Macaca mulatta: one gene and its partners. The protein of the gene in region 1 purifies or fractionates together with the protein of each later gene. This does not show direct contact. Links are inferred from orthologs where the notes say so. Each region holds a gene or a part of one and is shown in the gene's direction. Other genes may lie near its edges.

Evidence for each region. Proteins that work in one complex are often made in the same cells at the same time.
Region 2: the proteins of RAN (region 1) and NUP214 purify together in Homo sapiens (affinity purification with mass spectrometry; 3 studies listed by BioGRID and IntAct, counting the BioPlex papers as one, with this or other methods). This does not show direct contact. The link is inferred for Macaca mulatta from reciprocal best matches to the Homo sapiens genes RAN and NUP214.
Region 3: the proteins of RAN (region 1) and IPO9 purify together in Homo sapiens (affinity purification with mass spectrometry; 3 studies listed by BioGRID and IntAct, with this or other methods). This does not show direct contact. The link is inferred for Macaca mulatta from reciprocal best matches to the Homo sapiens genes RAN and IPO9.
Region 4: the proteins of RAN (region 1) and AKIRIN2 purify together in Homo sapiens (affinity purification with mass spectrometry; 3 studies listed by BioGRID and IntAct, counting the BioPlex papers as one, with this or other methods). This does not show direct contact. The link is inferred for Macaca mulatta from reciprocal best matches to the Homo sapiens genes RAN and AKIRIN2.

What each region holds. Positions count from the first base shown.
Region 1 is NC_133416.1:138,251,851-138,258,738, forward strand, and holds the start of RAN (GTP-binding nuclear protein Ran), read left to right. Parts: upstream 1-2,682; 5' UTR 2,683-2,714; intron 2,715-3,179; 5' UTR 3,180-3,189; coding exon 3,190-3,225; intron 3,226-3,430; coding exon 3,431-3,515; intron 3,516-3,597; coding exon 3,598-3,723; intron 3,724-5,131; coding exon 5,132-5,319; intron 5,320-6,222; coding exon 6,223-6,393; intron 6,394-6,492; coding exon 6,493-6,537; 3' UTR 6,538-6,888. UniProt on the Homo sapiens protein: GTPase involved in nucleocytoplasmic transport, participating both to the import and the export from the nucleus of proteins and RNAs. Switches between a cytoplasmic GDP- and a nuclear GTP-bound state by nucleotide exchange and GTP hydrolysis.
Region 2 is NC_133420.1:16,314,665-16,320,118, reverse strand, and holds part of NUP214 (nuclear pore complex protein Nup214), read left to right. Parts: intron 1-113; coding exon 114-285; intron 286-2,597; coding exon 2,598-2,760; intron 2,761-4,325; coding exon of another isoform or gene 4,326-4,350; intron 4,351-5,454. UniProt on the Homo sapiens protein: Part of the nuclear pore complex. Has a critical role in nucleocytoplasmic transport.
Region 3 is NC_133406.1:59,522,732-59,529,065, forward strand, and holds part of IPO9 (importin-9), read left to right. Parts: intron 1-1,305; coding exon 1,306-1,454; intron 1,455-2,232; coding exon 2,233-2,361; intron 2,362-3,227; coding exon 3,228-3,503; intron 3,504-3,789; coding exon 3,790-3,956; intron 3,957-5,434; coding exon 5,435-5,568; intron 5,569-6,334. UniProt on the Homo sapiens protein: Nuclear transport receptor that mediates nuclear import of proteins, such as histones, proteasome and actin. Serves as receptor for nuclear localization signals (NLS) in cargo substrates.
Region 4 is NC_133409.1:98,260,556-98,266,889, forward strand, and holds part of AKIRIN2 (akirin-2), read left to right. Parts: intron 1-4,070; coding exon 4,071-4,214; intron 4,215-6,334. UniProt on the Homo sapiens protein: Molecular adapter that acts as a bridge between a variety of multiprotein complexes, and which is involved in embryonic development, immunity, myogenesis and brain development.

The sequences.
Region 1 (6,888 bases):
AGCCTGGGCAACAAGAGTGAGACTGTCTCAAAAAAAAAAAAAAAAGAAAGAAAAAAAGTAAAAGAAAAAATTGTCATCCTTGCGCAGGTGGCATGCTAATCTTCTCTGTATCATTCCAATTTTGGTATACGTGCTACCAAAGTGACCACTCGATTACCTATTCCAATATAATGAAACCCCATCTCTACTAAAAATAAAAAAATAAAAATAAAAAAAATTAGCCGGCTGTGGTGGCGCATGCCTGTAATCCCAGCTACTCAACTAGCTGAGGCAGGAGAATCGCTTGAACCTGGGAGGCGGAAGTTGCAGTGAGCCGAGATCACACCACTGCACTCCAGCCTGAGCGACAGTGAGGCTCTGTCTCAAAAAAAAAAAAAAGAAAGAAAGAAAAATAAAAAACAAAAGAAATAGAATATTGCAAGTAAAGTTAAAGTCTTCTTTGACTCCTCTTCTCAGTTCCATCACACTCCTTTCTACCCTTTCTTGAAGCAGTAACCATCAGGATATGGTATGTATATCCTTGCAATTAAAAAAAATACATATATCCAATAGCCAATATGCTTTTATGTTTTTGTAAAAAACGTACACAAATGACATTATACTATATATATAATCCCTCTAGATAAAGTTACATATAGTGTTAGGCTTTATGTAATAATTTTGGAAACAGGGTCTTACTCTGTCTCCTAGGCTGGGAACTCCTGGGTTTAAGGAATCCTCCTACCTCGGGCTCCCAAAGTGCTGGGATTACAGGTGGCCTAGACTTTATAAAGCTATTATCACCTCTTTCTGCTTTTCTCAACATTATCCTTTTGACGTCTATCTAAACCTGTGGAAACAGACGACCGTCAATCCTTTTAAATGTTATACAGCATTAAATGTTGTGCACATGTGTGAGGCGTGAGTTTAACTCTCGAGCCTCTCCCTAGAAATGGAAATCCACGGTCACAAGCAATGGGCATTCCCGTTTTACTGTTAGATTCTGCTCTCCCGCGAGAGGTGCTTGGCGTTCCCCTGAGGGTTCTGGGGGAGCTCGGACTTGCGTTCCCAGCAGGCCGGTTCTCCCCCGCGTTGTGACCAATTTGCGTCACTGGGGTTCCCAGCGGACTCAAGTGTGCCCAGGACTGCAGGGAGGACTCCTCGGTTACCGGGACTCTTTCACCATGCTGGACTCTTCTAAGGCGCTTGACTGCGCTGATTTGAGCCTTTTTCCGTCTGCATGTCGGCAGGGGCGCCCAGGAAGTCGGGGTCGCTCTAGCTCAACCTTGTTTGGAGTCTTACAGCTTCAGGCCAACACGGGGCTGGGAAGCTGAGCACTTATTCCGTCCGCGTTCGTAACTGGGGCTGGAAGACGCGCCCAGACTGCAAACAAAATTTTATCATTTTGTTTGTAGGACGCAGCGGCCAAGGCTGCCAACCTATGAAACGCTTTGAGAAGCTGGGCGCTTTGGGAGGCCGAGGCGGGTGGATCCCCTGAAGCCAACCTGGGAGACATAGTAAGATCCTGTCCCTAAAAATTAAAAAAAAAAAAAAAAGAAAAAAAATTACCCCGGATGTGGTGCGCGCCTGTAGTCCCAGCTAATTGGGAGGCTGAGGCGGGAGGATCGTTCGAGCCTGGGAGTTCGAGACCAGCCTGGGCAAAATAGCGAGACTCTGTCTCTTTTTTTTTTTTTGAGACTGAGTCTGGCTCTGTCGCCCAGGCTGGAGTGCAGTGGCCGGATCTCTGCTCACTGCAAGCTCCGCCTCCCGGGTTTACGCCATTCTCCTGCCTCAGCCTCCCGAGTAGCTGGGACTACCGGCGCCCGCCACCTCGCCCGGCTAGTTTTTTGTATTTTTTAGTAGAGACGGGGTTTCACCGTGTTAGCCAAGATGGTCTTGATCTCCTGACCTCGTGATCCGCCCGTCTCGGCCTCCCAAAGTGCTGGGATTACAGGCGTGAGCCACCGCACCCGGCCGAGACTCTGTCTCTTAAAAAAAAATAAGTAGCCATTTTCCGGGGTGGGGGCATCCCTCTCTGGTTCCTCGCTCTCCAACTGGCCCTGGTCCTGGGGGCGTGAAGGCTGCGATCTGGAGAGACAGAGCCGCGGGCTGACTCTGGAGGCCCAGCCTAGGATCCCTTCATTCATTCATCCGTTCTGTCACTCACCCGTCCTGCGCGCACGCGAGCGCCATCCTAAGCCCCAGGACCCCAAGTACCCCAACCCCACGGGGCACAGACAAGGACTGGCTGGCCAGCGCCTGGAAGCCGCGTGCCTGACCGCGTCTGCCCAAGCGAGTACCGCCTCCCACCCAAGAGGTAGCACGGCCGCGACAGTCCGGCCGCGCCCAACGACTCCCGCCCAGGGGCGCGCCGCCTCCCTGTCAGCGCATGCGCGCCCCCGAGCCCGCCCTGGGCGCCGGCGCACGTGGCCCCCACGGGCCGGCATGCGTGCGCGCTCCCGGCTCGCCCTCCCACGCGGTCCATCGCGCCTCCCGCCCCACCCTAAGCGCAGCGCCGGCCGCAGCGGCCGACTGAACCAGGTTGCGTGCGTGCGCGCGCGCACGCGCGGGCCACGTGGGCGGGCGCCGTGCCGTTGCCCCGCCCCTTGTCAACCCCGCCCCCGTCGGCCCCGCCCCTGCCCGCGCGCCGGCGTCGGCTGCGTCTCCGGCGTTTGAATTGCGCTTCCGCCATCTTTCCAGCCTCAGTCGGACGGGCGCGGAGACGCTTCTGGAAGGTAGTGAGACGCGGCGGGCCGGGCGGGGGCAGGGCCGGGCGGGGACAGGGGCGGCGGCGGCGGGATAGGGGCCGGAGCCGGGGTCAGGGCCGGGGCAGGTGGCGGGCCCAGGGACAGCGGGCGGCTGTGAGTAGGTGGGTGGCGCGGGCCCGGCCGTGCCGGGGCAGGAGACGGGCATGGGGTCGGCGCCCGCCCCCGCGAACCCCCGTTTCATCCTCCGCTCTCATTCCCGTCCCGGTCTCAGTCCCGTCCCTATCCCGACTCCTCCGTCCGCCGTTCCCCGCGCCCCGCCGCCCCGGATGCCGGCCCCGCCCGCCGCCTTCCCGCTCCGAGGCCCGGCCGCCATGGCGCCGCGGGCGGGAGGCCTTTGTGGGGCGGGCACGTGGGGCGCTGGGGGCGCGGGAGCGGGGCCGCCATGGGCTGCGGGGCCGCGCGAGCGCTCGCCTCCGTCCTCTGCCTCCGCAGGAACGCCGCGATGGCTGCGCAGGGAGAGCCCCAGGTCCAGTTCAAAGTAGGTAACCCTGCGGGGCGGGAGGCGGCCGAGTCCGACCGCGTGCGACTCGCGGGTCCCTCCTCCCGGACCCACGATGGCTGTAACGGGGCCCCGCATCCATATTCTTTGTTTTAAGTGAGCCTGTGATGGTTAAAGTTCCATGACTCTGGGATCTTGAGAGGTGAAGTGTTTTGGGTTTACTTCCAAATGTGTTCTCCAACAGCTTGTATTGGTTGGTGATGGTGGTACTGGAAAAACGACCTTCGTGAAGCGTCATTTGACTGGTGAATTTGAGAAGAAGTATGTAGGTATGTGCAGGAAAACCTTGCTTGTGGAAATACGTGAGAAATGGGTAAATTCATCCACTCAATCATGTCGTTTCCGTTTTAGCCACCTTGGGTGTTGAGGTTCATCCCCTAGTGTTCCACACCAACAGAGGACCTATTAAATTCAATGTATGGGACACAGCCGGCCAGGAGAAATTCGGCGGACTGAGAGATGGCTATTATATCCAAGGTAGGCATTTGTAACTTGCTGAACAGTTTTTGAGAGGTTTTGTGTACTTCAGTTTTCAAGGTTATAGAAAATCAGGTCTGTTCCAACAAATAGTGCTTAATACTGTAATGGGAATTGTGTCATTTCTGGGTTAAAAAAAGACGTGGACTTCAGGGAGTTGACCACCATTTTGGTGGCAGAGGAGAAAATTTTATGAAAGTTGCATGCTGTGTCATGCTAGGCATGGTTTAGAAAAACCTATGACTTACACTGGAACTTATAAGTCATGTTTAAAACAATAACAGGCTGTTAACAGCAGTTTCAGTATTTGAAAACTTTGGTTCTTGTGTGTAGTTTGGTGTGGCGATCAATGAATATTTCTAGTCCATTACAAAGCAACACCAGATACTAGACCAGAGGAGATAGGAGGTCTTAACAAGTGTTATACAAGACTAGCCGATTTCTTGTTAAATTGTTTGTAGTAAGTTGTGCAGAGTATTTTTCTCAAATAGTTTGATTTAAAAATCTCAAGGAAAATGTTCATTGTACCAAAAAGAGAGGAATAAACAAAATACTCATCTCTCCTGGAACCTCACGTTGCTAATAACACATTATCTGGAATCATTCCATGCCTTTTGCTCTTCTTGAACGTGTACATATAAACACAAGAATTTCCCCCCCAAAAAATCCTTTAACCAAAAAGTTGTGGTTTCTTGCCTTACTAACTGTACCATAGTTATTCCTGCAGGTGAGTATATAGACTTTATCTGGGTTATTTAATTTTTTTTTTTTTGAGACAGGGTCTTGTTTTGTTGCCCAACCTGGAGTGCAGCTTCCGCCTCCTAAGCCTCAGCCTCCTGAGTAGCTGGGACTACAGGCACCTGCCACTTTGCCTGACTAATTTTTGTATTTTTTTTTGGTAGGGATGGGGATTCACCATGTTGCCCATGCTGGTCTGGAACTCATGAGCTCAGGTGATCCACCCACCTCAGCCTCTCAAAGTGCTGGGATTACAGGCATGAGCCACATCGCTTGGCCTATCTGGAGTTTTTAAGACAGGAATGATATTTCCTAGTATAGTCGGCCATTTAAAGACTTTCTGAAGACTATTTCCAGGCCCTACCCTCAGAATATGGCAGCTTGGTTCTCCAGAATCTCACTTGGCATTAATTACTTCAGATAGTGTTTTGGGGATGAGGGGAGTATTAATGGTGAAGTTTATCAGGGAGATTTGATAGAATCAGCTCATCTTTCTTAGGAAGAGTTCTGTGTTAATGTTCTTAGAATTGAAAGAGACTTTGAAAGTGAGGGGAGAGATCTAGGTGCCTTGTTGAGGTCTAAGACTATAGTTGAATCCTAGTCTGCGGTTCTTAGCATTCTTCACTTGTGTGGTAAACAGTGTACTAATTACCGCAACTGTTTCTTTCAGCCCAGTGTGCCATCATCATGTTTGACGTAACATCGAGAGTTACTTACAAGAACGTGCCTAACTGGCATAGAGATCTGGTGCGAGTGTGTGAAAACATCCCCATTGTGTTGTGTGGTAACAAAGTGGACATTAAGGACAGGAAAGTGAAGGCGAAATCCATTGTCTTCCACCGAAAGAAGAATCTTCAGGTGTGTAAAATTAAAACTTCCTGAGTTATTTCTCTTAGCGGAGATTGTATGTAAGACCATGAAATTGACCAGTGTCTATTATATATGGAAATGATTTTTTTTCTCCCAAGATGGAGTCCCGCTCTGTCCCCCAGGCTGGAGTGCAGTGACGCAATCTGGGCTCGCTGCGACCTCCGCCTCCCGGGTTCAAGCAGTTCTCCTGTCTCAGCTCCCCTAGTAGCTGGATTAAAGGCATGTACCACCACGCCTGGCTAATTTTTGTACTTTTTTTTTTTTTTTTTTTTTTTTTTAGTAGAGACGGGGTTTCACCATGTTGGTCAGGCTGATCTCCGACTGCTGACCTTAAGTGATCCACTTGCCTTGGCCTCCTGAAGTGCTGGGATTACAGGCATGAGCCACTGTGCTGGCAGGAAATAATTTTGTCTTTTTTTATACTATTGTTTTTAAAGAATGATAGAGATGGGGTTTCACTGTTGTCTGGGTTGGTCAACTGAGATACGTGTGTGTATTTATATATTCTTTGTTTTTTGAGACAGGGTCTTCCCCTGTTGCCCTGGCGGGAGTGCAGTGTCATGAACATAGCTCACTGCAGCCTTGAACTCCTGGGCTCAAGCAGTCCTCCCACTTCAGCCTTCTGAGTAGCTGGGACCACAGGCATTCAAGACCATGCCCACCTAATTTGTTTTTTTGTAGAGATGGGGTCTTGCTCTGTTGCCCAGGCCTGATCTTGTACTATTGGCCTCAGGCAGTCCTCCCACCTCAGCCCCCCCGCAAAGTGCTGGGATTACAGGCATGAGCCACCATGCCTTGCCAAGAATCTTAACATTTTCTTGTCTTGCCATGTCCTAGAAAAATCGTCATCTTAATGAATTTTAAAAGGTAAAATTATTTTCTTTTAAACAGTACTACGACATTTCTGCCAAAAGTAACTACAACTTTGAAAAGCCCTTCCTCTGGCTCGCTAGGAAGCTCATTGGAGACCCTAACTTGGAATTTGTTGCCATGCCTGCTCTTGCCCCACCGGAAGTTGTCATGGACCCAGCTTTGGCAGCGCAGTATGAGCACGACTTAGAGGTATTACGGCCACTTTGCTGTCTAGGCTATAACGTTTGACTTGTATATTCCTGGCAGTTTTGATCTGGAGTGTTAACATTTTTTCATCTCTTCGTCTAGGTTGCTCAGACAACTGCTCTCCCGGATGAGGATGATGACCTGTGAGAATGGAGCTGGAGCCCAGCGTCAGAAGTCTAGTTTTATAGGCAGCTGTCCTGTGATGTCAGCGGTGCAGCGTGTGTGCCACCTCATTATTATCTAGCTAAGCGGAACATGTGCTTCATCTGTGGGATGCTGAAGGAGATGAGTGGGCTTCGGAGTGAATGTGGCAGTTTAAAAAATACCTTCATTGTTTGGACCTGCATATTTAGTTGTTTTGGAACGCGGTTGATTCCTTGAGTTTCAAATATAAGACTGCTACAGTCACATCACAATATTCAGTGGTGAAATCTTGTTTTGTTACTGTCATTCCCATTCCTTTTCGTTTAGAATCAGAATAAAGTTGTATTTCAAATA
Region 2 (5,454 bases), on another chromosome or scaffold:
TTTCCCTTTTTTTCTTCCTATTTTGATTTGGTTTCTCATTGCTCAATGTCTTCTCTTCCTATCTCCTCCTCTCTTTCTCCCTATTTCTGTTTGTTTGCCTCTGTTTTGCTCAGGTGGCTTCGGTGCTGCTCCAGTGTTTGGCAGCCCTCCTACTTTTGGGGGATCCCCTGGGTTTGGAGGGGTGCCAGCATTCGGTTCAGCCCCAGCCTTTACAAGCCCTCTGGGCTCGACGGGAGGCAAAGTGTTCGGAGAGGGCACTGCGGCTGCCAGCGCAGGAGGATTCGGGTAAGCCCCCTGGGGAGGGCCCTTGGGAACCCACATGCCAGCCAAAAAGCACTAGGGGCCTGTACTCGTGCTCTGAAAAGAAATTTGACCATGAGCTGAAGGCCCCTCCCTTGAAACTGGTGAACAACTCCCTCAAGGATTCCTGTTCCTCTCCAGGGTAAGACTCATTTCTTTTAAGCCAGGCTTTGTTGAATTCATGGGTGGACCTCAGCTGTGTTGCTGTTCCCTCGTATGAGAAATGCTGGTCATCAGAGCCCCTGTTCTCCTGCTGGGGCTAAAGGAAGGCGCCAGCCCTGCCTTAACTACTGCTTTGTAGCCAAGGGGTACCCCCTTGTGGAGCTTCTGTTAGGAAGTCCTCAATGAATGGTTTCCACCAGATTCTTTCATCTTGGGATTGTTCTGTGTTAGACCCATTGTCCTTGAACAAACAACTCCCTGTGTCCCCTGCTCCCCTGCAGCCCCCACAGTGAGTATTCAGTTCCACAGGTCCCCCGCCATGGGAAGATCCTGGATGATCAGGAATTTCGAAGCTGCTTTCATTGCCTCGTGTGCGTCTGCACTGGAAAAGGCCATGTTAGGGAGTTGCTTTTAAGGGCAGAATTTCAGTCTGGTTGCCAAAACCCCAAGGGAAAAAAAGTCTTCACCCCACCACAACATCCCAATTTAAAAATTGTACATGGGGTGACTACCAAGTCTCATTCAAAGGAGGTGTTGATGCCTGAAAGTTCTAAAATGCCTCTCACCACGGTACTGGGCTCAACATGAGCTGAAGACTTGGGGGAGGGGAGATGATTTTGTCTGGGGGAATTGTAGAGATACTTGGGATCTGAGTCTTGGCAAGCTAACAGCATCTTTATCTTGAAAATAAACTATAGTATGTTCTTACTCACACCCTTTCCCTCCATGCAAGATGCTGGAGCGCAGCAGCAAGAATGAGGGTTGGCGTGCTGCTGCTCCTGTTTCACAGGGAGACTAATGCCTTAGGTTTGCCCTCAGGAAACCCCAAGAATTAAGTTAAGGAAAGCTTGGAAAAGACAGTTAGAGACCCACTTAGGCTGGTATTCTCAGAGGTCTTAATGGACGCTGTTCTCTGCAGTGATGACCTAGCACATAGTACCACAGAGTTGGTGGAAGGTGTGGGTTGACTGGGTATCTTGAGAATTGATTTATTTATTTGAAACCAGCTGTTTTCTTTACTAGTAGAAAAGTATCATATTCTGCCTTGGGGCAGCTCTCACACAAATCCTGACTGGCTGGTTAGTCAGTCCTAAAAAGGGTTAATACCAGGTCAGTTATTAAATCCCCATAAAAGCCCATTACCTTCTTCCAGGTCCCTGGCCATGAGCCTGTCTCCTACCCTGAAGGGCAGGCCTTTGAGAAGGGCAGGCTGTTGCTGATGAGGCCCAAGGCAGGAGGAGGAAGGGAGCAGATGCTCCTGGGAGAAAGTCCAATGAGGGCAGATCCCTTGGCCACCTTTGTATGGAAAGAGCCTTGACCTCACCATTAACGGTGAATAGAATGGTGGGAAGGGGGAGTTTTAGATACTTTTTCTTGCTTTGGGGTTGACTCTTGCCCCAGGTGCTGCCCCTTCTCCCAGAAACCACTGATCTATTTCCCTCACCTAGTCACCTCCAGACCCCAGAAGCTCTCGCCAACCCAGCTGAATTCCTCTGCAAATGATTCAGGGGGCTCTGGTAGGCCACACAGTGCCACCTTCTGTGCTGGACCATATCTGGAGGGAGAACTGAGCGAGGGTGCACAGGGGATTGTCTCCAGGTGGGGCCAGCAGGGGAAAGAAAATGGTGGCCACTTTTACATTGTTTTGGATAGTAATTATTGATTCAGGAAACAAATACAAAATCCTGAATGAAACGACTTGGAAAACGTAAATAGAATCAAGATCCCAAGAGGAGCTGAAGATAAATAAATGGGAGCGGGGTGTGGGGGAATGGTCGGTAAGTGAGAAATGCTAAAATGATAGAATAAAGCTTCAGGATTGTTGGAGGTAGAGCAGGAAATGTGTACTGCACAGTTCCCAAATGCCCTGGTGTTCTGATAGGGGATGGAAACCAAAACACTGGCCAGGTTGGATTTCATACTGTAGTCCTGCCGTTTTTCTTCCCAGAGCAGAGATAAAAGTTGGCCCTGAACGATAGCTCGTTCTCTCTAAAAGGCTGCTAGTTAGGCCCAGCCTGTCACCCTGGATCATGTGTGTCGTGTATATTGAGATTTACGGCAGGGGGCTGAGGCTTGCAGATGGCCGAGTGGTGAGAGGCCCCACTGACCTCGGTCTGTTTCTCACTGGAGCGCAGGTTTGGGAGCAGCAGCAACACCACATCCTTCGGCACACTCGCGAGTCAGAACGCCCCCACTTTCGGATCACTGTCCCAACAGACTTCTGGTTTTGGGACCCAGAGTAGCGGATTCTCTGGTTTTGGATCAGGCACAGGAGGTGAGCTGCTACAAGTTCTCCCTGCGCAAGCACAATGGGTCCCTCTTGCCTTCTTCCCCCAAACAAATGAGTATGTTTTACCTGACCAGTCTGTTTAGTATTTTAAAAGCTGACCAGGCACGTGGCTCATGCCTGTAATCCCAGCACTTTGGCAAGGCGGGAGGATCACTTGAGCCCAGGAGTTTGAGACTAGCCTGGGCAACATGGCAAGACCCCATTCTCTACAAAAAATTTTAAAATTGGCCAGACATGGTGGCACACACCTGTGGTCCCAGCTACTCAGGAGGCTGAAGCAGGAGGATCACTGGAGCCCGAGAGGTCGAGACTGCAGTGAGCTGTGATTGCACCACTGCACTACAGCCTGGGTGACAGAATGAGACCCTGTCTCAAAATAAATAAATACATAACATACTGAAAGTGGTTGAAAAAAAAATTTTTTTTTTGAGACAGAGTCTCGCTCTGTTGCCCAGGCTGGAGTGCAGTGGTGCGATCTCGGCTCACTGTAAACTCCGCCACCCAGGTTCATGCCATTCTCCTGCCTCAGCCTTCTGAGTAGCTGGGACTACAGGCGCCCACCGCCACACCCGGCTAATGTTTTGTATTTTTAGTAGAGACGAAGTTTCATTGGGTTAGCCAGGGTGGTCTCCATCTCCTGGCCTCATGATCCACCCGCCTCAGCCTCCCAAAGTGCTGGGATTACAGGCGTGAGCCACCGCGCCCAGCCGAAAAATAAATATATATATATATATGTATGTATCTCATACCAATGAAGAAATATATATATTTTTTAGGTTTTGGTTAGGCTTAGAACATTGTGTCATTTCTTACCAAAGAAATTACTGTCTTTATTTCCTCTCAGGATTTGAGAAGCCCAACATAATAATGGTCTTACTAGGCCTTGGTTTAAAAATCTAAGCCAACAGACTAAAAAAAAAAAAAAAAGAAAACACGTAGAAACTTCACAAAACATGTTGCATTTGTTTAACACTCTGCTTCTTCAGACGGCAGAATATGTGTCTTCCGTTTTGTTCTTGCAATAAACTGATGAGGCACAGAATTTAGGTATCATTACAGTCGTACCAATGACGAAACAGAAACTCCAAGGAACTAAGTGATTTGCCGAGAGTCAGTTAGCAGCAGAACCAGGCTTAGAATCCAGCCATCTTGCTTCTCTGGCCCTCAAAAAGAAGAGGAAGCAAATGGATGGAAAAACAACCACAGCACAAAAAAAAAAAAAGTTTTCCTAATGAAATGAATCTGTGTGGTCCAGCGCAGTTGAGAGAGAGGCCAAACCAGAGACCCTCTGCCTACAGCTGGGGCCGGGGAGGGAGGAAGAACCTAAAATACCAAGAAGATAACTCATAAAAAGTAAAGGATTTCTTCTGCCTTCTGGGGGATCTGAGCAGCTCCAGAGGACAAACTCAGAATAAAGGGGCTTCTGCATGTACCTTTCCTGCCTTCCTGTAGGTGGGGGAGGCATGGAGGGCTTCCCATGACTGAGAAGCACAGGAGGGCAGGCACTTAGCATGGGGACCACCTTCATCTTTCAAGTGGACGCGTGCTTTAACTTCTGTCTTCTGCTTTTCAGGCTTCAGCTTTGGATCAAATAACTCGTAAGTATCCCCCTTTTTGAGTCTGACCTTAATTAAAAGCATTAAATAAGGTTGGAAGTGTGTGGATCTTGCTGGATTTGTGCATTTTCTTTTCATTTTTTCCTGTTTTTAGAGTTTGTCCTGGAAGTGTGGGGGTTCAGCAGCAGGGTTTAGGTTTTGTGGACTTGCTCTTCTCCGTAGCAATGTGACAGAAGGTGCCAGGCCTCGCCTTCTTAAGAGACATGGTTCAGAGAGAAAGAGAGCAGCCTGCCAGTGAGCCGGGCCTGAGGGCAGCGCTGAGGAGATGCTGCTCGTGACTTCCCTTGTGGGTTTCTCGGAAGCCGTGTGCTAACCCCTGGGCTCTGGGCCATCACCAGGTCTTGTGCTGATCCATCCTCTTTGCTTCTGTGTAGAATTTCATGGCGTTAAAATTCAGTCTTAGCCAGGTGGGTGGTTCATGCCTATAATCCCAGCACTTTGAGAGGCTGAGGTGGGAGGATTGCTTGAGCCCAGGAGTCAAGACCAGCCTGCGTAACATAGTGAGACCCCATCTCTACTAAAAATTTTAAAAATTAGCTTTGCATGCTGGCTCATGCCTGTGGTCCCAGCTACTCCAGAAGCTGAGGTGGGAGGATCACTTGAGCCTGGGAGGTCGAGGCTGCAGTGAGCCAAGATGGTACTGCTACACTCCATCCTGGGTGACAGCCAGTCCCTATCTCAAAAGGAAAAACAAAACAAAACTGGACAGGCACAGTGGCTCACACCTGTCGTCCTAGCACTTTGGCAGGCCAAGGTGGGCAGATCACTTGAGGTCAGGAGTTTGAGACCAGCCTGGCCAACATGGTGAAACCCTATCTCTACTAAAAAATATATATATATATATAGATACACACACACAAATTAGCCAGGCATGGTGGTGCATGCCTGTAATCCCAGCTACTTGGGAGGCTGAGGCAGAAGAAGTGCTTGAGCCTGAGAGGTGGAGGTTGCAGTGAGCTGAGATCACGCCATTTCACTCCAGCCTGGGCAACAGAGTGAGGCTCTATCAAAAAAATAATAATAAAAAATCGGAGTCCTGACCTTTGCCCACAGGCAGAGCAGCAGAGCCTGTGACTGCTCTGTGAC
Region 3 (6,334 bases), on another chromosome or scaffold:
TATTCACTAGATATTTTTTACAGTAGTAAAAATTTGGAAATTATAAAAAGACATTAGTTAATTATATCCATAAAATGAAATACTGTTCAGCCATTAAAAATCAAGCTAAAAAGGAATATTTAAAACCATGGGAAAGAGCTTACATTGTAATAAATGAAAAGATACTTTTCCCCAAAAATCCATAGAATATGATCCCAAGTTTTGATTTTTCTTTTAGGAAAGGATATATGTATAGTTAAGTATGTTAAAAAAAAAAAAAAAAAAAAGAAAAGAAAAAAATACATCAAAATTTTAAGAGTGTTTATCTCTAGGTGGTGGAATTACAGGTGTTTTCTTTATTTTCTGCAGTTTAAGTTTTTTTTTTTCCTATAGTGAATGTATTTATTAATACCTTATTACTAGTAAAATATTAAGGATTTTTTTTTTTTTAAAGGGAGAGCTCCAATATTGAAGCTCAGAAAGATGTACAGGATAAGGATTGTTTATATAATGTGATATACTGAACATGTTATTAGATATGCTTTTTCACTGAAAAATGTGTACTGAGGAGCTTTCCACATTGTGTTCTTGGATATATCTCATTCTTTCAGCCATTACATAGTATTCCATAAAATGGGTATATCATAATTTACCCATTCTGCTAATGGACATCTAGGGTATTCCCAATTTTTTTCTATTACAAACAATGCTGCAGTGATCTTTTAAGATATACTTTAACATACATTGCCTATATTTTTCCATACTAAATAGAGGAGGATGTTTTGTTATATAGATAAAGAAGATTGAGCTAAAGTTCCCTTTCTTCATAAGGCTCTGCTTTTTAGGAGTTTTGCCTTTTGCCCCAGAAGTAGCTTTGAGAATTGTTCATGGCCACTATGGCTACCTCATAGGAGATATGTATGATTTCTCTCATGCATCAAAGTCAGTGTTTTGGCAATTTTTGCAACTTTCTTCTTAAAGTATCAGTTGGGCTTTTTTTTTTCTTTTAAGCATATGGTTTTATAATCTAGGTTTCACAAGAATAAAGACTTTAAAGATTTTTCTTTAGAAAAACTACATTTTGTTTTAGGAGTAGCTGTTGAAGACTAGTCCCTACTTTAATGAAGCCATACAAAGTGTACCTCTTGGAGATTTAGGATCACTCCTGTTCTTTCAGGTTATTCATGTGGCCCCACTAGGTCCCGGATGTGTGATAAGTAATCAATGCAGAAGTTGTTAGGTTAGGGCAAACAACAGGCATCATTAAGCGAGAAGCAGATGCAGACCATCAGGCAGGGGGATTCCGTGTTGCCTTATCCACTTCAGATCCCGTCGTCGCCTCACTGGCTCAGGACATCTTCAAGGAGCTGTCCCAGATTGAAGCCTGTCAGGGCCCAATGCAAATGAGGTTGATTCCCACTCTGGTCAGCATAATGCAGGCCCCAGCAGACAAGATCCCTGCAGGGCTCTGTGCGGTAAGTGGCTGTGTGTGTGTGAGATATACAAGCGCCACCCACAGATGCATGTAGCTGACAAGAACTTAATAGCATTAGAGATTCATGGGGTGATTTTGCTGAGCTCTTTTGCCCACAATGACAGTGGGTGATTCTCTGAAGCTTTAAGAAAATGACTTGGCTTGGCGCGGTGGCTCACGCCTATAATCCCAGCACTTTGGGAGGCCAAGGCAGGTAGATCACAAGGTCAGGAGTTTGAGACCAGCCTGGCCAGTATGGTGAAACCCTGTCTCTCCTAAAAATACAAAAATTAGCCAGGCATGGTGGCAGGCACCTGCAGTCCCAGCTACTTGGGAGACTGAGGCAGGAGAATCCCTTGAACCCAAGAGGCAGAGGTTGCAGTGAGCGGAGATCGCACCACTGCACTCCAGCCTGGGTGACAGAGTGAGACTCTGCCTCAAAAAAGAATAAAAGAAAGAAAATGGCTCTTCTTGTTTCAGAGGTACCCTCAGTGAATTGAACAGAGTGCCACCATTACACAGCGCCACTAAGTATGTCACCTGGTTATCCAATCCACTACCATGTACTAGTGCCCACCCCTAGGACTAATCAATTAGTAAACTATTAGGAGGAGGCTGAGAGCACTACCCATTTAATTATTCCTTTTATTTTGGAAACTTGCCTTTCATTAATAAGCTTTCTCTGGGTTGCTATGTGATACCCATCCAGTAAGGATCTTAGTTGTTGGGCACCCCCAACCCCAGAGGCAATTCTGACTCTTTTTTCTTCTCTCTTTCAGACAGCCATTGATATCCTGACAACAGTAGTACGAAATACAAAGCCTCCCCTTTCCCAGCTTCTCATCTGCCAAGCTTTCCCTGCTGTGGCACAGTGTACCCTTCACACAGATGACAATGCCACCATGCAGGTATCTGAGACATGGAGACTAGAAGGGGGAAGATAGCTCCCCAGTCATGGGCCTTTACTACGCTGAGAAATCTGACATGGTTTTATGCTTTTGAAATACGGAATTCCTCAACTCCATATTTACTTAGCAGATTCAGGAAGGGTTCAGGCTGCAAAAGCCAAGCGTTTCTGGTGCTTTGGAGCATGTTACAGTTTTTAAAAATACAGATACCAAGCACCCTGCCCATCTGTATTGGGTATTGCTACTATGAAAGAGATTACAGACATCTAGACTTGGGGCCATAAGAAAGTCTTTCTGCATATTTCCTCTATTAATAAAATCAGCAGAGTGATGGGCCTCTAGAGAGGGGAGAGATGCCTAAATATTTTTTCTCTTTTTGTTTCCTGGGTGAATTGGTTACCTTTTCAGGTGTGTACTACCGTCATTGATTATAAAGGTTATAGGAACTTGCCAGTGAATATTGATCAGCTTAGAAATCCCTAGGCAACTAGTGGTTTGTGTAAGACCTATATGAGGTCCTATAGTATCCCCAATTATTGCAAGATTGTAAGCATATTTTTTTAGTACCAGAGGTAGACCTTTATGATTAAAATTCATTTTGCTTGGCCATTGTCCCTTGTGATTAAAAAATAATAATAATACATATTTTTGAGATAGCTCATTAGGTAAAGGGGGAATTATGTAATGCATGTCTGTGTCTATAACAGTAAATTCCTGATTCCAGTGATATGAGCCCACCACAAATACTATAGACTCACCGCTTTTATGAGGCATAGGCCTCTGAGAACATTTGTTTATACAGACTGAGGGCCTCCTGGCATCTGTCTCTCGGTTACTAATCTTGCTTGCCACCCCTGTCTCCCCAGAATGGCGGAGAGTGCTTGCGGGCCTATGTGTCAGTGACCCTGGAACAAGTAGCCCAGTGGCATGATGAGCAGGGCCACAATGGACTGTGGTATGTGATGCAAGTGGTGAGCCAGCTCCTGGACCCCCGCACCTCAGAGTTCACTGCGGCCTTTGTGGGCCGCCTTGTTTCCACCCTCATCTCCAAGGCAGGGCGGGAGCTGGGGGAGAATCTAGACCAGATTCTTCGTGCCATCCTCAGTAAGATGCAGCAGGCAGAGACGCTCAGTGTCATGCAGGTAAGAGAACAGTAGGGAGTGGGCTTCCTACTCCTGGCTGATAGAAGTGAAAATTAGTATTTTGGTCCTGAGTTATTTTACCCTGTTACTACCCTTGTAGGACAGTTAAGTAAAATGGGATCTGTCTGGCCTAAGAAACATGGACAAGGAAATCTCCATGTTTTCTTGTCCTGTGAATAATACCCTCAGTGTAGACTCTGTCTCTTATCTGACTGGCCAGTTCCCTCTCATCTTTTATGTCTCTGAAATTGATTTCCCTGAAGCAAATGTCCTTATTTTCTCCTAGTCCCTGATCATGGTGTTTGCTCATCTGGTGCACACTCAGCTAGAACCTCTTTTGGAGTTCCTGTGTAGCCTCCCAGGACCTACTGGCAAACCTGCTCTAGAGTTTGTGATGGCTGAGTGGACAAGCCGACAGCACCTGTTCTATGGACAGTATGAAGGCAAAGTCAGGTAGAATCCCATCTTTCTTTTCTGGGCATTCTGCCACCACTTCACCACTTATATTTCTTTCTTTTGTGTTTTTTTATTTTTTGAAACAGAGTCTCACTCTGTCCCCCAGACTGGAGTGCAGTGGCACAATCTTGGCTCACTGCAACTTCCACCACACCCAGCTAATTCTTTTGTGTGTGTGTGTGTGTGTGTGTGTGTATTTTTAGTAGAGACAGGGTTTCACCATGTTGGCCAGGCTGGTCTTGAACTCCTGACCTCAAGTGATCCACCCACCTCGGCCTCCCAAAATGCTGGGATTACAGGTGTTGAGCCTCTGCTCCTGACCTATATTTCTTTTTTTCCCTGATTTGCTCCATTGATTTTTGTTTGACATTTCAGATGGCTCTTTGTATTCCCTTTTCCTTGTCTTTCTTTATTGCTAAGGCACATATGTGAATAGCTGCCATCTTGAAATCCCCAAAAGACAGTCAACACAGGTAGACTATATATTTCTGATCTCTGCTTGCTAGAGATCCCTTTTCTACCGCAGACTTCACACAGCTAAGTGCTGCTAGTGGCTTATTTTCCTTTAGAAACCCAAGCCTTGGCCAGGCGCACTGGCTCACACCTATAATCCCAGCACTTTTGGAGGCTGAGGCAAGCAGATCACTGGAGGTCAGGAGTTCAAGACCAGCCTGGCCAACATGGTGAAACCCTCTCTCTACTACAAATACAAAAAATAGCTAGATGTGGTTGTGGGTGCCTATAATCCCAGCTACTCGGGAGGCTAAGGCAGGAGAATCGCTTGAACCCAGGAGGCAGATCACGCCTGGGCGACAGGCAGATGCACTCCAGCCTGGACCACAAGAGCAAAACTGTCTCAAAATAAAAAACCCAAGCCTCTAACCCTGGCTTCTTAACTTTCTATCCTGGACTTTTATACCACTGATTCTTATCACTTCGTTGCACGTTACAATATGGATAGCCATCGTGATGCTTGCCCACCCTAGCTTTGTTCAAGAAGAACAGGTTACCTGTAATCCCAGCACTTTGGAAGACTGAGGTGGGCAAATTGCTTGAGACCCACCTGGGCAACGTGGTGAAACCTATCTCTACCAAAAATATTAGCCAGGCATGGTGGCACGTGCCTACCCACTCAGGAGTCCCAGCTACTCAGGAGGCTGAGGTGGGAGGATCACCTGAACCCAGGGAGGTCAAGGCTTTGCAGTGAACCATGATCACGCCACTGCACTCAGCCTGGGTGACAGAATGAGACCCTATCACAAAAAAAAAAAATAAGAAGAAGAAGAATAGATCTCATTAGACCATCTCATGAACTCTAAAATCTCATTTTCAGCTGAACTCTCTTAGCTCTCCTAATTAGTTGTTAACAGAATTTTCACTGTCAAATAGAGGGCCTTAGGACATGATTGCTTATCTCCTTGGCATGAACTCTAGATAGGTAACTGATTGACTTTTTTTTGGATCTTCCTTGCCAGCTCTGTGGCACTCTGTAAGCTGCTCCAGCATGGCATCAATGCAGATGACAAACGGCTACAGGATATCCGTGTGAAGGGAGAGGAGATCTACAGCATGGATGAGGGCATCCGCACCCGCTCTAAGTCAGCCAAAAGTGGGTGATGCTGCAATTCCTCCAATCCTCTCCTTATAATAAGGGGCTAAGGATACCTGGGTGGAGGGAAGGAATGCATTGTGGTGTATATTTTCAAAACATAATTGTTGGTGATGGGTTTGATAAAGAAGCAACAGGAAACTTAGATAAAAGGGATCAGAACATATGGTTTCTTCCTGTTGTCAAAAATGGACAAAAATAAGCTGGGCGTGGTGGCTCACGCCTGTAATTCCAGCAGTTGGTGGGAGGCCAGGGCGGATGGATCACTTGAAGTCAGGAGTTTGAGACCAGCCTGACCAACATAGTGAAATCCTGTCTCTACTAAAAGTACAAAAATTAGCCAGATGTGGTGGTGGGCGCCTGTAATCCCAGCTACTTGGGAGGCTGAGGCAGGAGAATCGCTTGAACCTGGGAGGCAGAGGTTGTGGTGAGCCAAGATCGTGCCACTGCACTCCAGCCTAGACAACAAAACAAGACTCCATCTCAAAAAAAAAAAAAAGTGAGTGTGATGGCTCACAACTGTAATCCCAGCACTTTGGGAGGCCGAGGCTGCCAGATCACCTGAGGCCAGGAGTTCGAGACCAGCCTGACCAACATAGAGAAACCCCACCTCTACTAAAAATACAAAGTTAGCCAGGCATGGTGGCGCATGCCTGTAATCCCAGCTACTTGGGAGGCTGAGGCAGGAGAATAGCTTGAACCCGGTAGGCGAAGGTTGCAGTGAGCCAAGATCACGCCATTGCACTCCAGCCTGGGCAGCAAGAGC
Region 4 (6,334 bases), on another chromosome or scaffold:
GCCTTTATCTACCTGGTATGAAAGCAACTCAGGTCACCCAAGTATCTAGATTGAGCTTAGCAATGTGGTGGTTGTAGAATATTGAATCCGAGGAAGTTTCTTGAGTTTATCAGCTTCAAGACTGTTTATATCCCTGGACTGAAATAAATTGAGCTTGAGGCTTGCCATTGCAGTTAGCTGTTTGCTACTTGTGCGGTTGAGATCTTGGCCAAGTTAAATTGGACCCTTTACTGCATAACATTGTTGATCACATGTTACCAGTATTAGAGCATTTGAGGGCACCAGTGTGGCTTAGATGACATAGTTGCATCATATTTGATGTAAAAAGCATGCAGTCAATAGCTTTAAAAATTCTTCAGCTCTTTAGCTGACAATATCAAGTGTTGGCAAGGATGTGGAACAGCTGGAGCTGTAATACTTTTATGGTAGGAATGCAAAATGACAAAATCACTCTGGAAAATGGTTTCGCGATTTTATTTTGTAAGAACAAAATAAACCGTTCATTTGCCATATGATTAGGCAGCCTATTCCCACTCCTAGGGATTTATCCAAGAGAAATGAAAACATGTCCGCCAAAGACTGGTACTTGAATATTCGTAATAGTTCTAAATTGGAAACAGTCTTAATGTCCATTAACAGGAGAAAGGATAGATATGTGTGTGTATGTATACATACATACAATGGAATTCTCACCAACGAAAAGGAATTTCTGATTCATGCAAAATATATGAATCTCAAAAGCATTGTGCTGAGTGAAAGTAGTTCAGACATAAAAGTCTGTACTCTTTATGATTCCATTTATGTGAAATTCTAGAGAAGGCAAAACTATATAGTAATAGCAGATGAGTGTTGGTGGACTGTACTGGGGAAGTGGTGATGGTGGTAGTGAATTAACTGCAGAGGAGCCCAAGAGAAGTTTTTGGAGTGATAAAAAGTTATTTATCATAGTTAATGTTAGTTCCAAAACTGTATGTTTGTACTTGTCAGAACTCAAATGAATTGTACATTTAAATTGGTTAATTTTGTCATTTGTAAATTACACCTTAAAATGTTAGTGATGTCTCTAAGTGTCTGATGGTATAGAGTTTTACAAAGATAAATTTTTAAAAGTTTTACTGTTTCTTAATTCTGGGTTAGCTTTCATTTGAGATTATCAAATGAACAAATTGAGGTGGTTGTTATACAAGCATTCTTTTGGTACATTTTAGTTGTGCTTTGGTTGACTTGTGAAGCAGAAGGAACACTAAATCTGAGAACAGCTATGTGGTGATGAAAGAACGTATGTAAGTCACACAAAAGATAAATATTAAGGTCAGGTTACTCCAAACTAGTACCTCCTAAAATCTCTGGTTATAAATAAATTTTATGATGTTTTGAATAGCACTTTTGATCAGGATAATGGTAGCTTTGGACAGAAAGTGATGAATGTGAGTGAAGCTTACTTTCTGTCAGAGAGCAAAATATAAATGCTGGGTGCAGTGGCTCACACCTATAATCCTAGCACTTTGGGAGACCGAGAAGGTTGGATCACCTGAGGTCAGGAGTTCGAGACAGGCCTGACCAATATGGTGAAACCCTGTCTCTACCAAAAATATAAAAATTAGCTGGGCGTGGTGGCTCACGCTTATAGTCCCAGCTACTCAGGAGGCTGATGCAGGCGAATTGCTTGAACCTGGGAGGCAGAGGTTGCAGTGAGCCGAGATCGCGCTACTGCACTCCAGCCCGGATGACTGAGCGAGACTCCGTCTCGAAAAGAAAAAAACGCTTTAGATTGCTGTTACTGAAAAGAGGTCTGTTATTTAAAAAATGAGGGTATTTGTGTTTGTCGTGGTTGAAACCAGATGTTACATTAGTTTTATTGGGTACCTCTGGTGAATATTAGGAAACCTATTTATATCAAGGTATGCTTACCATTCAGAAGACAACTCTTTCATGCCAACACTGATAATTTAATAATTTAACCACTGTCACTCAATTGGAATAACTTTGTTTTCAAATTACAAAGTAGTTCAAATAAATGGAAAAGGACTGAAAATGACCATAACTCGTATTAAACAAATGTTAACAAATGAAAAATACAGCTAAAGCACTCCAACATAACCATCCTGAAATTAATCATTATAGACCTGTTTAAGTACACGTGGATGTGTGATTTTGTACTTAAACCACACATTCATGTATATATAAACAGGTCTTTTTATACAACGAAATTTATGTAAATGGTATCTTTAACTGGATATGTCTTGCAACATTTTTTCAGTTTAAATAATGAAACAAGCAGTATTTAAAATGTTTAAGGGAACTTATTTGTCCTCCCAGAGTCTCTCAAAAATTCTAAAAGTTCTCCTAGGGAAATAAAGTGAGAAAAGAGGTAAGTGACAAGATTTTGTAGATATGGTGGTTATCTACGAAAACCACCAGTGTTACATTTTAAAAAGAATTATTGTATGTAAATCTTTAGCTTTCTTTTTTGTGTGTCATAGAGACAGGGTCCCTCTGTGTTGCCCAGGCTGGTCTTGACCTCCTGGCCTCTAGTGACCCTCCCACCTCGACCTCCCAAAGTGCCATGGTTACAGGTGTTAAGCCACCCCACTTCACCAATATCTAACAGTTCTTAAATTAATGCATCATTGTAAAATTGAATTTTAAGGCTACACTCCACTCCGTCAGTCTTTTTATTGCCAGTTAATTGCCACCTAAATATTTCATTTTTATTTAATCTTGCTTTGGATTTTGATTAGTAAACTTCTAGGGATGTAGTTTCACATTGATACCCTGTTAACTTGGGAGCTATGGAGGTGTAGTGAGGAGGTGTAGTGAGGAGGTGTATGGAGGTGTAGTGAGGAGGTGTAGTGAGGTGTAGTGAGGAGGTGTAGTGAGGTGTAGTATGGAGGTGTAGTGAGGAGGTGTAGTGAGGTGTAGTGAGGAGGTGTATGGAGGTGTAGTGAGGTGGTGTATGGAGGTGTAGTGAGGTGTAGTGAGGTGTAGTGAGGAGGTGTAGTGAGGTGTAGTGAGGAGGTGTAGTGAGGTGTAGTGAGGAGGTGTATGGAGGTGTAGTGAGGTGTAGTGAGGAGGTGTATGGAGGTGTAGTGAGGTGTAGTGAGGAGGTGTAGTGAGGTGTAGTGAGGAGGTGTAGTGAGGTGTAGTGAGGAGGTGTATGGAGGTGTAGTGAGGAGGTGTATGGAGGTGTAGTGAGGTGTAGTGAGGAGGTGTAGTGAGGTGTAGTGAGGAGGTGTAGTGAGGAGTGGAAACCCCCAGGTAGGGATTTTCTGGAGGGGCCAGATGGTAATTATTTTGAGTTAGAAATCTTTCTGAAATGAATCATACTGGCCTAAAAGATATGCCAGATATAATTTTACTCATTCGTGTGATTGTGGTTCAAGATAATTGCACTGTGGTATGGTGGTTCTTATTTATTGAGGACCTGTCATGTACCAGTCACTTCACATGGTCTCTCCCTCACCCCACCCACCCTCCAGCCCCAAGATTCAGAATGCTATAGTATTCTTAGGTTTTATTGAGCTTAAAATAATTGGCCATGGCCATTTAATGTATGATGACTTTTTTAGTTCCCATCTGCTTTGTCATTTTGTTGACCTACTGTCACTTCAGACTGTTGTGTGCTTGAATATACATAATCCCCCACGCCCCTTCTTATTTATGGGCTTGGAAAAGGCATAAAGGCATTAAAGGCAGTTGGAAAAGCCTGTTAGTGTAATAGTTCTATGTGATGAATAAATGAGCTTTAAGTTTGGAACTCAAGAATCTGAGTAAAATAGGTGTTTGGGTTCACAGACTACTTGACCATTATTTTGATTGAAAAACTTTATTTTTGCTAGTCAGTGCTCAGCAAGAATATTGTTGAGCAGCTGAATTCCAGTTGGTGTGTATGTGCTAAGTGAATGTCCTCATTTATGCTGAAATGAGTTCCTACCAGAATGTCAGTTTTCTGGATATTATTTGAAAGGAATATTTTGGGTAGATTGGTCTACTAAATAATGTTGGAAAGCCAACCTCTTTTTTAATGTGAAAGTTTTTATCTTGCCAAATTTTAACTTTTTTTATTTTAGAACAAATTCTGTACAACATAAAACAAGAGTATAAACGAATGCAGAAGAGAAGACATTTAGAAACGAGTTTCCAACAGACAGATCCGTGTTGTACTTCTGATGCACAGCCACATGCATTTCTCCTCAGTGGACCAGCTTCACCAGGTAATAACATTTCTTTTCATTTATAAAGTTTATTATTTAGAGTGGGAAAAGTTTAATCCAAGTTGTCTTTAGTCATTTAAGCTACTATATCTCCTCTGAGTTTTAAAAAAACATTTATACAAGTAATGCATGACATCTTAAAAATATGGTACAAAATAAGGAATTATCACCTGGATTCCCACTAACCAGGGACAACCACCTGTATAATAATATCCCCAAAGTGGACATCCTGTAAGTACTATGATTTGTAGCCTTTATTAAAAAAATTAACAATAGGCCAGGCACGGTGGCTCATGCCTGTAATCCCAGCACTTGGGGAGGCCAAGCGAGGTAGACAGGTCACTGGAGGTCAGGAGTTGAGACCAGCCTGGCCAACATGGTGAAACCTTGTCTCTACTGGAAATAGAAAAATTAGCCAGGCATGGTGGCATGTGCCTGTAGTCCCAGCCCCTTGGGAGGCTGAGGCATGAGAATCACTTGAACCTGGGAGGCGGAGGTTGCAGTGAGCTGAGATCGTGCCACTGCACTCCAGCTTGGGCGACACAGTGAGACTTTGTCTCAAAAAAAAAAAAAAAAAAAAATTAACAGAATACTATATGCTCCTTTGTTAGGTATAGATGTACCTTGTCATGACCGAATGCTTATTGATAATTCAACTTAGATGTTTTGCTGGTATAGTATTTTAAGAAATATCCCTGTATACGTACCCTCCCTTACACACTTGTCTTATTGGGATAGATTTCTAAAGGTGGATTATTTTATTACTTTTTTTGATCCTGTATCTGTTTTTACCTACCTTTTGTTGGGGGGAGTGTTTGCAAATAACCTTCCTTTTTAAAAAAAAAAAAAAGGAATAAGGGCTACTTGAAGCAAAGAGAAAGTTGAAGGTTTTGCTGAAAGAGAGCCATCAATAGTGGCTCTTACCTTTAGTAAAGTTCTCAGCAAAATAGCTTTTCTTGTGACAACAGTTGCCTTTGTTCAATGCTTTCTCTCCTCCCTCTAGCAAGGGTGGGAAAACCTGGCAGAATAAAAAAATTTCGACCAGGCGCAGTGGCTCATGCCTGTAATCCCAGCACTTTGGGAGGCCGAGGCGGGCGGATCGTGAAGTCAGGAGATCGAGAACATCCTGGCTAACACAGTGAAACTCCATCACTCTAAAAAGACAAAAAATTAGCTGGGTGTGGTGGCAGGTGCCTGTAGTCCCGGCTACTGAGGTAGGAGAATGGCATGAACCTGGGAGGCAGAGCTTGCAGTGAGCAGGGATCACACCATTGCACTCCAGCCTGGGCGACAGAGCAAGACTCCGTCTCAAAAAAAAAAGAAAAAAAAAAAAATCAAAGACCATAATATAGTCAAATAAAATTAGATTAGGAAACATGAAATTGTTCAAAACTAAATACTGCCATGCCCATTGTGGGGGGCCAGTTATTAGTGGTTGAAACATAGTAAGAGGTGAGGGTTGGGTACTAGACTGTATTAGCAGGAAACCAAGATCATTATTTCCTTACTCACTTAGAAGATCAGTTAACTGGCTCTTAAGTAACAAAGCTGGGAATGTGAAAATAAATTAAGATAGCCTTGGGTAATTATGAATAAAGCTGGTGTGCTTTGTTATTGTGATATGCGCAGTTCTAATAAGCATAGTTAACTAGCTCCTGCCATGCCGGTTATAAGCAGCATTAAGTTAAGAGAGTAATATTGGTGGTACCAGGGCAAATTCACAGAGTGAGATGAAGAAACAATAGATAACAAATGAGTGGTGCACTTGAATGTGAATAAAATACTTTTAGCAGTATTACAATAGATGTTATTACTACAAAATATTTTCTCTTTTATAAAAAAATACTAATAGGTATAAAAATGCTGAAGGAATATTCTTGCCAATTTACTAATGATATTGACAGACACTGATGTTGCAGCTGCTTTGGGATTCTTAGTGTGATGACAGTGTAGTTCTATGATACTATAGAGTTTTGAGCATAGCATTATCAGCTCAGTACTTGAGCTTATTTTTCCATGCGAATTATTGTTAACTGAATGGTAGTAGTCAATGTGTTCAAACACCTTTAGAATCATTTATGCTTCTCCAGCAAAGTAGATTCCAGAATGTCTTTTTTATT